3 linked regions of the Drosophila melanogaster genome follow. The gene in region 1 interacts genetically with each later gene. Each region holds a gene or a part of one and is shown on either strand. Other genes may lie near its edges.

Evidence for each region.
Region 2: of sei (region 1) and slo, changing one suppresses a phenotype caused by changing the other (phenotypic suppression), as found in Drosophila melanogaster (one study listed by BioGRID).
Region 3: of sei (region 1) and rut, changing one suppresses a phenotype caused by changing the other (phenotypic suppression), as found in Drosophila melanogaster (one study listed by BioGRID).

What each region holds. Positions count from the first base shown.
Region 1 is NT_033778.4:24,045,278-24,049,033, forward strand, and holds the start of sei (seizure), read left to right. Parts: upstream 1-2,133; 5' UTR 2,134-2,227; coding exon of another isoform or gene 2,228-2,582; 5' UTR 2,583-2,648; coding exon of another isoform or gene 2,649-2,719; 5' UTR 2,720-2,726; intron 2,727-2,788; coding exon of another isoform or gene 2,789-2,983; intron 2,984-3,057; coding exon of another isoform or gene 3,058-3,173; intron 3,174-3,361; coding exon of another isoform or gene 3,362-3,429; intron 3,430-3,491; coding exon of another isoform or gene 3,492-3,556; exon of another isoform or gene 3,557-3,626; intron 3,627-3,756. Other genes in the region: tsr (twinstar), read right to left, coding at 1,389-1,391; gammaSnap1 (gamma soluble NSF attachment protein 1), read right to left, coding at 2,006-2,044, 2,228-2,582, 2,649-2,719, 2,789-2,983, 3,058-3,173, 3,362-3,429, 3,492-3,556.
Region 2 is NT_033777.3:24,660,872-24,664,627, forward strand, and holds the start of slo (slowpoke), read left to right. Parts: upstream 1-1,619; 5' UTR 1,620-1,692; intron 1,693-3,492; 5' UTR 3,493-3,756. Other genes in the region: Ppox (protoporphyrinogen oxidase), read right to left, coding at 1-854. UniProt on the Drosophila melanogaster protein: Potassium channel activated by both membrane depolarization or increase in cytosolic Ca(2+) that mediates export of K(+). Its activation dampens the excitatory events that elevate the cytosolic Ca(2+) concentration and/or depolarize the cell membrane.
Region 3 is NC_004354.4:14,824,354-14,828,109, forward strand, and holds the start of rut (rutabaga), read right to left. Parts: upstream 1,721-3,756; 5' UTR 1,609-1,720; intron 1,553-1,608; exon of another isoform or gene 1,393-1,552; intron 575-1,392; 5' UTR 436-574; intron 1-435. Other genes in the region: CG14408 (uncharacterized protein), read right to left, coding at 3,435-3,678. UniProt on the Drosophila melanogaster protein: This is a membrane-bound, calmodulin-sensitive adenylyl cyclase. Inactivation of this cyclase leads to a learning and memory defect.

The sequences.
Region 1 (3,756 bases):
TGATACAGGGTGCTCTCTTTGCGTTTCCCCAAGTATTCCCTTAAAACAAATGTTCATGAAGTACCAAGTAGTTGAATTGTAAAAAAAAATAAGTGAAGTTCAATGTTTTATGCCCACATAAGACACGAGGCACCCTGTACCTCACTGATGTACATATGTGCGTATGTAACTGACTGGCAGACATAACTGCCCACCTTCAGCTGACAGTATATCCGTCCCTTTTCGACTTTGCAATTTTATTTCTTTGATTGCCGGCAATAACAAACATAAAGGTAAATAATTTATGCTACTTTATTTGCATTGCCACCGCAGAACTTTTACCGGTTAAGGCGTGCGCACACTTGGCACGCCGATTTATCTGGGAGTGGTGGGCGTGGCACCATTTACAGTTAGATTTTCCTTTCTTTTTTTCCCGGCGCTCGGAAAGTTCAAGGGTAAGTTCACAAGTGCCGGCAAGTTTAAGGGTGAGAACAAGCCGACAAGAGGGAGAAAGAAAACTAAAAGGGAGGTGGCTGTTTCCCCACGATTTCGTTGCGCTCACAAAACGGTGGAAAATGCCCGATTTTCCATAATATTCGGAAAATGTCGAGAAAATCAAAATCGTCCCACATGCAAACAGTCGTCTGCTGCACACACACAGCTAAACATCATGTGTATGTATGTATGAACATCCGCAAGGCGGCAAGGAAACGATCACACCTTAAATATGTATGCCTGCAGATACATATATGGATATATATTGATACATATTTCTGTATGGTAATATGGACGTACATATGTACACACATTTTGCGTCTGCGAGAAAATAAGCATTAAGCATTGCCCCGCAGATACATACATACGCACATATTTATAGCCATCGAAATATAAAAAAAGCGGTATACCCACACACGCTCAAGTGTGTAAAAATATATATATGTATAGACATGAAAATCCAATGTGTGTGCATTTCTCTTTCCAACATTTCAATTTTTAATCGCTCCATTTTTCCAGCTGCCACTTTGGAGCATTCTTTCGCGATTGCCTTTCGCGAATTTGCCAGTTATGAGTGTGAGTGGCGGCTGAGAAGTATGAAACACTCCAATAAATGAGTAATATCCGCTGCTACCAATGACTAATTTGGTATATATGTATACGCACACATTCATGACCATGTATATGCCCGAATATGGCCAACGAACATATAGGCAAAAAAAAGTGGAAATATATGTATGATTGATATATACACACTTATCTAAATATGTATGTATATACAGATTTCAAAGGAGAGATGCTTATATGATTCATCGAATCGAAGACATTATTTGCACTCCACCTCGCTTCCAAAAGTGCACAATGACCGGCCGCTTTTACCACCGAGTCTGAATGCGAGTCCCAAGTGTACGTACCATTTTTCCTGTAGTTTTTCGCTTTCACAATTCTCAAATTGCTGCTTCGCCGAGTATATATTTTACAAATACTGTTTAACCTTCCGCCTTCTTTCACGAACAACCGGACGAATCAATTTGGTCGGTTATTTCGCACAGGTTAGGGTTGCCAGGCGCCGGCAAAGTATCAACATGCGTCGTGACGCGTCGCGACGTTTGTGAAGCGTTTGGAACGGTGAAATGGCACACTTTCGATCTTTCAAAATGTCAAATATTTTAGGGTGCTTTAAAATACATAGTATAGTTTGAGTTAATTTATTTATTTATATTAACAAATTGCACTATACTTTCGTGTAATAAAGCTGAAGATTTACAGATTTGAATCTTAACACATTCGCTGTTTTGGAACATAGAATATATATACATAGTTTACACTTATAGCTACAATTTATTACTTCAATATCAATTCATCCCAAAGCTAATGATATTCTTTGTTGTATAGTATTGATCTTAGTATTTATTAATTAGTACAACGATTGCGATGAAATTTGTATTTAACAGTTAATATAATATGTTAAAAGCGATATTATTAACGATAAATATATTTTGACTAACAAGCAGACCGAACATTAAGAAATTTAGCACAAGCCACCTTCGTCCTCGGCGTCGTTGGTTTCCTGCGAGAGAGAAAGAGAGAAAATACGAAATTCTTGTTAGCTATTTAGTTTACTGCTTCGCACTGTCCCAAGTCTTCTATCGACAACAAAGGCAGATTCAATCGCCTATCGATAACATCATAATAAGAGCCAAATTTACAAAACAAAAATTGCAAATTCCATTTTTAGAATAAAAATACTCACAGCAGCAGTGTCGCCAGCCTTCTTCTCCATCTGTATACCCTGAGGTAGTGGAATGTTTTTAGATAGAATAGCGTACTCAACATCCATATGTCGTATGAATGGGGATGCCAGCATCCTAGCAGCTAACTCGGGATCCTCGTCATCGAAGGCTTGCAGAAGGGTCTGCAGTGTGGACACTTCCTCTGGCTCGCAGCAGTTTCCCCACTCCCTGAAGGTCTTTTCGGCTTCCACGGAATCCCCGCGAGCCAGTTGGACCATCACCAAGGCCACAACTAGGCGTCCAATTTGTCCGTAAGATTCCGTTTGCTGATTCAAGCTGATCTCCTTTTTGAGCGCATTCGTGGCTTCGTCGTACCTGGAGTGATTGGATGATATAAGCTAAGGATACCCAAAGTGATTCGTTGCAATCATAGGTACATACCTCCTTAGTTTGACCAGTATCCTGGAAACTTTTGATGCATACTCGGCTGCTTGACGGACGGAATCCTCGATCTGTCGGGTAAGTATAAAATTAATAGTTTAAGAATGGAATTGACTAGAGCAGTGTCAAATAGGACGAACCATTATGACTTCTAGAGCATGCTGATAGAAGCGCAAAGCCATGTCAGGATGCTTGGATTCAGTTAACTTGGCGGCTTTATCCAAGGCGGATGCGGCTGCCTCTGGGGAACCGTGCTGTTGATACAAACTCGCCGATTTGTTGGCGTATTCCTCAACTTCGTGTAGCTTATCGGCATCCTTTGACAGCAAAATGATCTAGAAGATGTGCACATTTAGAGGGTTTAAATTTCCTATTAACTTCACTTATATTAACTTCAATTTAAGCTCACCTGTTCGTATGCCTTTGCAGCATGGAACCAAGACTTGTTGTTTTTATAGGCGTCGATTGCCTTCAGAAAACACTCCTTGCTCTTATCATAACTTTTAGCTATTCGATATGCAGTGGCTGCAATTAAAAATGTAAAAGAAAGATACATAATTGTACACCAATATGTGTGTATCTTGCAAGTTATGGATACTTTGGGATAATCGTTAGCTGTAATTCATAGTATTTACATATCTCATTGATGTCACAATGTTTTTATAGATAGATACTCTGGGTGATATTAGTCACTCCTACTTTGTGAAACTCACCAGCTTTGGAATACTCATCCGCAGCACTATCGTAATCAGGAACCCATTTCAGCATGGACAACTTCAAGCTGCAAATAAAGATGGGTGTTATTTGGAAACCCCTTTATAAGGATATTTTTGTTGGGGATACCTCTTCTCGGCCTGCTTCACCAGGTCCTCCGCTTCGGCAATCTTTTTGGCAGCGATTCCCGACATTTTCAACCACTTTTGTTTAGCAGGAAAAATCAATTGTTTACGTTTGAAAATAGTGTGACCGAATGCGAGAAGGAAAATAACAATGGTTCGAAAATCACGGTGGTTTCGAATCTTTGAAAACCGAAAGCAGTACGCATGTCTGAAAATTTCAGAAAAGCAAAGCCTGATTACACCGGGAAAAAAAAGTTGGTCTTATAAAG
Region 2 (3,756 bases), on another chromosome or scaffold:
ACTTCGGCATCCTTGATGTTCATTCGAACCCCGGAGCTGCTGAAGGTCAGGTTCCGGCATTCGTTGCTTAGCTGCACGTTCACATCCCGCTCACCTAAGTACTTTCGCATAGTTTTGGGTAGGTTCTCCAGACCGCCTTTCAGCCCGTACATGGCCCACTTCTCCTTTACCGCCTGCGCATACAGCTTGGGCTGTCTTTCGGCAAATAGTCCATCCTTGGTGTCCTTGGTCTTGTTCTTCTCAAAGCGGGAAATGAGTGTGCCCTTGAGCACTCCTCCGTACTTCTGTTCCTTTTCAAAGAGCCCCTCCATCAGGAAGCGCACACTTATTTCTCGCGCGTCACCGGCGCAAATACCGCAGATCATGGGACTGATGGCGTAGTCGGCTATCTCCTTACCAAACCGCCGCTCAGCGAAACTGTAGATGCTCTCATCCTCCAGCTTCGCTTTCTTGCTTGCTGTGAACAGATCGCGAAGAACCGCTTTGTATAGCGGCTTCGTGAAGGGAGGCAGGACGCCGAAGAGACCCTTGGGACTGTTGGGCAGCATGCAGAGCTGTCCCTTGGCATACAGCATTCGGTTGCGTGCTGCGACATGACTGCGTCGAATGGGAGTCACCTCCAGCTTCAGATCCTCCACCAATTCTAGCGTATTGGCACCTGGCTCACCAACTGGGCGTATGGTTCGCGGTCCGCTCTCGAAGATGAAGTTGCGATCCTTGCGATTCTCCGACCGCACCCATCCGCCCACACGGGGCGAGGCCTCGTAGATGGTCAGCGGCTTCCCGAATCGCCGCAACAGGTAGTATCCGGCGGATAGTCCACTCAATCCGCCTCCCAGCACGGCCGTCGTCATGGTCCTTCTGCTGCTTCTCGTTGCTCCCGAATCCCTTAGAGGATTCAGACTAGTTCTGGTTTGCAGACGAAAAAATCTATGCCGGCTTCGATCGTTCAGACCAAAATAAACCCAGGTGACATAACTATCGTTGAAGCTATCGATAAGCTCAAATCCAAAATCGCTGAGCTTGCAATCGATGTTATATGCGATTGAAGAGTTTTGAATTGACAATTCTGCAGAAAATAAAATCAAATAAAGGAAGGGATAAATATTTTATAAAATAAATAGCATTTATTGTTATACTTATTTTGGTAACTACAGCTAACATAATATCTTATAATCGAAACAATGGTTTTAGAATATTTATTGTTAAATTATGTAAAGTTAAATAAAATATAGTGCAATTGATAATACTTAATTTAAGCATTGATACAAGAATACAAATGCATAGTACTTTTATTTGCCATTATTTTATCTCATTTAACATGCATTTGTGCACCCGTCCCAAAAGTATGCAATGAATTTCTTCCGACATTCCTCATACGCCACGTGTGCATCGTGCGGAAGTTCACTTGCACCTGCATCGGCACCATTACCATCATCATCACCATCACCGCGGCACTGGGTCATTCATAGTGAATGGGTTTTGGCGCCAGTTTTGATGAATCGAACGAAGCGTCCAGCCCGCACCAACCGCAGGACTCCGAAAAGCTCCCAAAGACGAGCTTGGGCCGTGCGGAAGTACATTGGGCCACCGATTTCCATGTCGTCGGAGTCGACATCGCGCAGAATTGTATACGCTGCTGACGAGAAAGGTTGGTCCTCGCGTTTGAGCGCGTCGCGTCTTTTATTCTGGGTGTGTGAGTGAGTGGACTGTGTGGAAAAGTGCCTATCGCGTATATGTATATTCACGGGACCCATACACACACACACAGCTGCAGCACTTGGAAATGTGAAAAATTTTCAAGCTGCGTTTGCCAATTACGGGGAAAATTGAGCAAAAAACGTCTTAAAATCCGGGCAATTATCGTGGCCATTTGCGGAACGGCAATTGTGCAAAATTCGGTATCCGTTGAAAACGGGCTCAGTGAACGTGAAAATGTGCCACACACACACTTACAACGCAGGAAATTCAATTAATTAGTGACCGAGTGTGTGTGTGTGTGTTCGCCCATAAAACGGCGATTGTGATTGCGAAAAAAGTGTTGCATACATAAAGGAGCTAAGAAGTGGACCAACGAGCAACACTAAAGGAAAACTCTTTAGAAATACAGTTTTTCGCTTTTTTTTTTGGCACTGCTGCAGGTTTTCATTTAAAAGATACATTTGTTGAAGTCAACACACACGGACACACACACATGCGCATACGGCACAGTTTTTCGTTCGTTTTTAAAACGAGCACACCACAAGTTCCCCAAAACGAAAGGACGAAGGGACCCGACCCGATGATAAAGTCGATGTTCCAGGCCGGAGATACACTTGTATCGTTCCCCTGCCTTTGCCGCTGCTGTCATCGTCAATGTTATTTTTGTTGCTTCCTACTCGTCGTCCTTCGTGTGTCGCAGGATACCTTGGTATATGTGTGTCAGTCAGTCACTGGCCGAGCGTGGGTGTGTGTGTGCGTGCGCCAGGATACGCAGATACCCAGATACCTACAAATGAAGCCACCAAATCCAGGCGAGTTCAATGCGCGGCCAGGACGAAGGACTAAGCTCTGTTTACATTGGCTCACGAATGCCCATTTTCCAAGCCCCCTGTATTTTCCGCCCGTTGGCGTGCCGTGGGAAATTGTGTCGCCTGCTTATTTATTATGAAAATGCAACTTTCATTTGACTCGGCATTTGTCCCGTTTCCATTGTTTGCAGGCACATTAGGCAGCTCGTTAAGCGCATGAAAGTGTGTGTCCTGCGGGTGTGCGAGTGTGTGTGTGTGACACGAAGGGGAACTAAAAACTAGGGCAGTGTGTTTCCGTTTCAACGACATGCCGCAGGCGAAAGAACGAGTCCGTCCGCAGGACAGCAAAGCCTCGCTAATCGGGCAGGAAATGAATAACTTAAAAAGTTACCAATGACAAGTTTGACATTAAATGTATCATATACAAATAACATGCAAACGAAAGTGATAATTGTAAAGCATGTTGTATATTGCCAAAAATTCTAGTTTTTGGTACCACATTGCGTATGCTTAACCAAAATGTGCGACTTTCGCAGGCAAGGAAAAAGCTTTCTGCCCGACAATTTTCGGATTCCCTGCATCGCGCAGCCGCCAATACGCCAGCAGCAATTGTGAGAAATTGAGAGAAATTCTCAGAGAATTCTCCGAGAACTGAGAATTTAAAAACGGCGAGAATAGTGCTGATTTTGCTTTCAAGTCTGCTTCGCATCTTTATTTATTTATTTACTTGACACGCTTGCTTTTCCGGCTACGGAAAATGGTGATACAATGTCTAAAATAATATTAATTTAATAGAATATATATACGAATACAAATATATACGTAATATCATTGACAAATGTCTGCGGTCGTAAAAAAATTAAAAACGCAAATAACGCTGACAGCCTAACTAAAAAATATAATTAATTACCGCGTTCGTCGCGCTGCCTTGGCAAATTAAAAAGTATTTAAATTATCGCTCAACTTAATAAATCTCTTGCAGCTTAACACACAAGGAAAAATTTCGTGGGCAAACAAAGCTAAATAAGTTGTGAAAGGAAACATGAGCAGTGTGACTAAGCGCAGTTTCTAATTTAACCAAATTCCAATTCAAATTCAAAAGAACGAACAACTATTGATCAAGACGGCAAAGAAAGAAGCAAACAAACCAAAACGCACAATGAAACTGATAAGCTTAACGCAGCTGATAACACAATGAAACTCATCCACGGATCCGAAATGCAATTATGAAATAATCAGCAAGCCG
Region 3 (3,756 bases), on another chromosome or scaffold:
ATTTGTGTTATATCCAACTGGAATCTAGTTAAACAACAATTTAAAGATAATAATTGTTTATGAAAAACGCTATAAGTAGTTAGTACTAATATTAATTTTATTTTCCTTTTTTGGATAAAATTTCAGTTCTACATATATAATAATATTCATGTTATTTAAATAGGATTTTCGATTATATTTTTCATTCTATTTTTGCTTTCTTTCTTTCTTTCTTTCTTTTCAATAAAATATTAAATTTTATATACATGTATTGAGAAAATATAATATTTACTTTACTCATATTCTAATTTGTATTAAATATTAAAATGAATAAAAACGTTTCAACCTTCTCCCGATTTCATGTGTATCTTATCCATAACTACGTATATATGTACTTCAGAGATGCAAAAGTATCTTAGTATCTCAAACTGAATTTCGTCAAAGGAAAACACTTACCCAAAAAGCAACAACGATTGTGTTGCAAGTTGACTGCTGCTGCTTCTTCTTCTTCTGTTACTTTTTTGCCTCCTTGTTCTGTATCTCTTGTTGTTGTTGTTGTTATTATTGTTGTTGTAGGTCCAAGATGCATAGATGGCTGAGCGGAGAGTAAGAGGGTGCGAATGAGACAGCGATAGGGAGCGAGTGAGAGAGCAAGCGAGTTGTAATTGAATGTTTGGCTCTTAATTAAAACAAGAATTGTGACAGCCACGCTTTAAGGCGGGGGGCGTGGCAAGCCCAAGCCTAAGCCCACTCCCACACACTCTCTCTCTCTCTCTCTCCCTTGGTTATTGCTTTTCTTTGCTCTCTCTCTTCGCGTGCCCTTTTTGATTATCTAATCCTTGGGGCAGGTGACATTTTGCAACTTTTGGGGAAGCGGAAGTTGTTGCCGTTTTCTTGTGCTGCCGCCGCTGCCAATACCGTTATCGATTTTTTGCGGCAGCTTGTTGTTGTTGTTGTTGCCGCTGCTGCCGCCGCCGTAAGCCGAAAAAAGGCGTGTGTGTGGCAAAGAGACAGAGGAACGTGGAGAAGAGAGGGAAAAGCCAGTGGCAAAGCGCATCCATGGACGGCACACACACACACACACACACACACACGCATTGGCATGATGAGAAGAGTGGGGGAGTGTGGAAAACGGGGAGAGAGGAGAGCCGAAAAGGCCAAAGCGAAACGAGTTAAGACGCAAGACAATGCAGATAAAAGCGGCAACAACGACAACAACAAACACGGCCAAGAACGGCAACAACAACCACAACAGCAGAAGGCGTCGCGGTGCGCTCTTCTTCTTGCTCTCCTTCTTTATCATCTGCTGGCAATGCATTCGTGTTTTTTGTTGTTTTTTGGGTTTTCGGTTTTTCTTGTTGGTTTTCTTTTATTATTATTTTTTTTTTTTTTTTGGAAAACTTGAATCTTTACCAGCTGCGTTTGGAGTTTTCCTGCCACTTCTTAAATGCGCGCGCGCATTTCCCACGACAAAAAGAAAACAAACGACCAGCGAGACACACAAAGTGGCACTTTATAGAACGAAAAAAAAAGTAGAATGTGCAAATACACCAGCACCGAAAAAAAAAAAGAAGAACAACAGTTAAGATCGCCGCGTTATTTAACCGCTTTTCCTTCCACACAACTCACGACGCGATTTCTTCGGATTGTTTGGCTTGGTTTGTTTGGTTTGTTCGGTTTCTCTTCGGCTCCGCTCGCTTCGGATTTGGTCTGTTCTCAGCAAAGCGTTGCAGCCAAACTAAAGCGTCCGTCGGCGGTTCGTAGCGAACCACTGCGAACCGAGTGGCACGAAGCTGCACGAAGTTGCACGAAGCGTTCGTCGGCGTGCAGCGAAAGCACTATCGTAGAGATGGGGCGCCACTGCTTGCGATAGCCCAATCGATATATCGTATATCAGCTGGTGTGATTTTAAATCCTATTATCAGCGTTATTTACAATATATACCAATTTCAAATTGATAGATGGAGATCGAACGTTGTGGTTTTTAAAGTTCCTGATCTTAATGCGTACATGTTCACTTATATGCAACTTGTATGGCGAATAAAAGTTGAAATGCAAAAGCTTTCAAAAGTCTATCGCCATGTCTTACATATTATCAGCAATCAGCTGGTTTTCTAGGTACTGTGTTATTATAGATTACTTATTGATTTTGAATATAGTTTTTAATATTAAGTTAAAATATACACCAATTAATCAAAAATTTTAAATGGGATTTGAGTAAAAATTAATGGGCATAATCATAGAATAAGTTTTTTATTTGGTAGGAAATACTAAACTAGAAAATACCAAAAGGCTGAAGAATGGTGGTCAAATGAAATTTCTAAAATAGAAAACCGTTAAAAGGCAATGCTATATTATTTAATAACATAACACAAACTAGTCAATTTTAAAGTTGATTTTTTACGTATTATAACAAAGAATGAAACTAAAGCTTTATAGTTACCAATTAAAAATGGCAGCCCCATTTTATTCACTAACTGCCCAGTTTTCGAAATGAAACATTCAGTTTTGTATAATACACTTCATATAATTTTATGCAGGTATTTATATATGCAATTATTTAACACTCAGTGGCGCAAACAGAAGAAAACCGAAGAATTCGCGGACAATTTGCAAGTCGCTTGTATTTCAAATGTCTCCATAAAGTAATATTGCTGATTCGGCTTTTGGTGCGAATTGTCAACGCACTCCTCGTTTTCTTTCAGTGCACACCACATTTACCATTATTTGTACACTCTTATGTATTTTTGTGGGTTTCTTGTAAATCATTTTGCCGAATATTTAGCTCGTACACACTAAAACTATTAAACTGATTTCGTTTTTGTTGACTAGCATTTAGTTATTTGCTTTTTGTAAACAGCATAAAATGTAACTTTCTTAATTATGTATATGCCACTACATAAACTAAATTATTGCACATCATTTATTTAGGATTAGAACATAGTTTGCCACACGTGCCTGAGTGCGTTGGTGTGGATTTAAAAAGATTCCTGCTGGCTCATCCATCATCTCGCATCCATTTCGATCCACCTGGGATTGATGTCTTTTTGTATTTGAATGATATGTACGCTACGCTTTTGACTAATTGGATTTTTTGGATCGATCGTAAGTATGCCCTAATACTCATAGAGTAAAATTTTGCCATAATTTTCATATTTGTATGCGTGCAGTGATGGGGGAAGTTGTGTCAGCGGCCAAACAAGAGTTTTCTAAATTGAAGAAAGGTACTTTCGAAAATTCCGTTACAAAAATGCTCAAAAATAGTGCATAGTTTTGAAACTTTAAATACTTCTTGTGGCACTTTCGATCATTATCTATGAACTATATTGCAATTATTCATTTAAAAGTGACTTTTCCCATCACCGCATTCATGTGTGTGTGTGTGTGTGTGTGTGATGGTGAGGCGGTTTTGGTGTTGATTTTTTTTTCTAAGTGTAGGGTATTTCGCTGTCGGCTCAAAACAGCAAGGCTCCAACCACGTTTAGTGCCTGGTGGTGTTGCTTTTGTTGTTGCTTCTGCTGCTGATTCTGTTGTTGTTGTTGCTGTTGCTGTTGATGTTGGTGTGTGTGGTACATGCTTGTGGTTGTTGTTGGCGATTTGAGTTCCTCCACTATAATGGCACCATTCTCATCCACCAAGTGATTTAATAGTAAATTCTCAACCTGCTCATCGGACAGTAACTCTTTTGGCTCTGAAGATCTGCAAAGTTAGTTAGTTTTGTATGTAATAGCTTTGCATAGTTAAAACTGAACGAAAAACACAGAACTGAGATTCGAT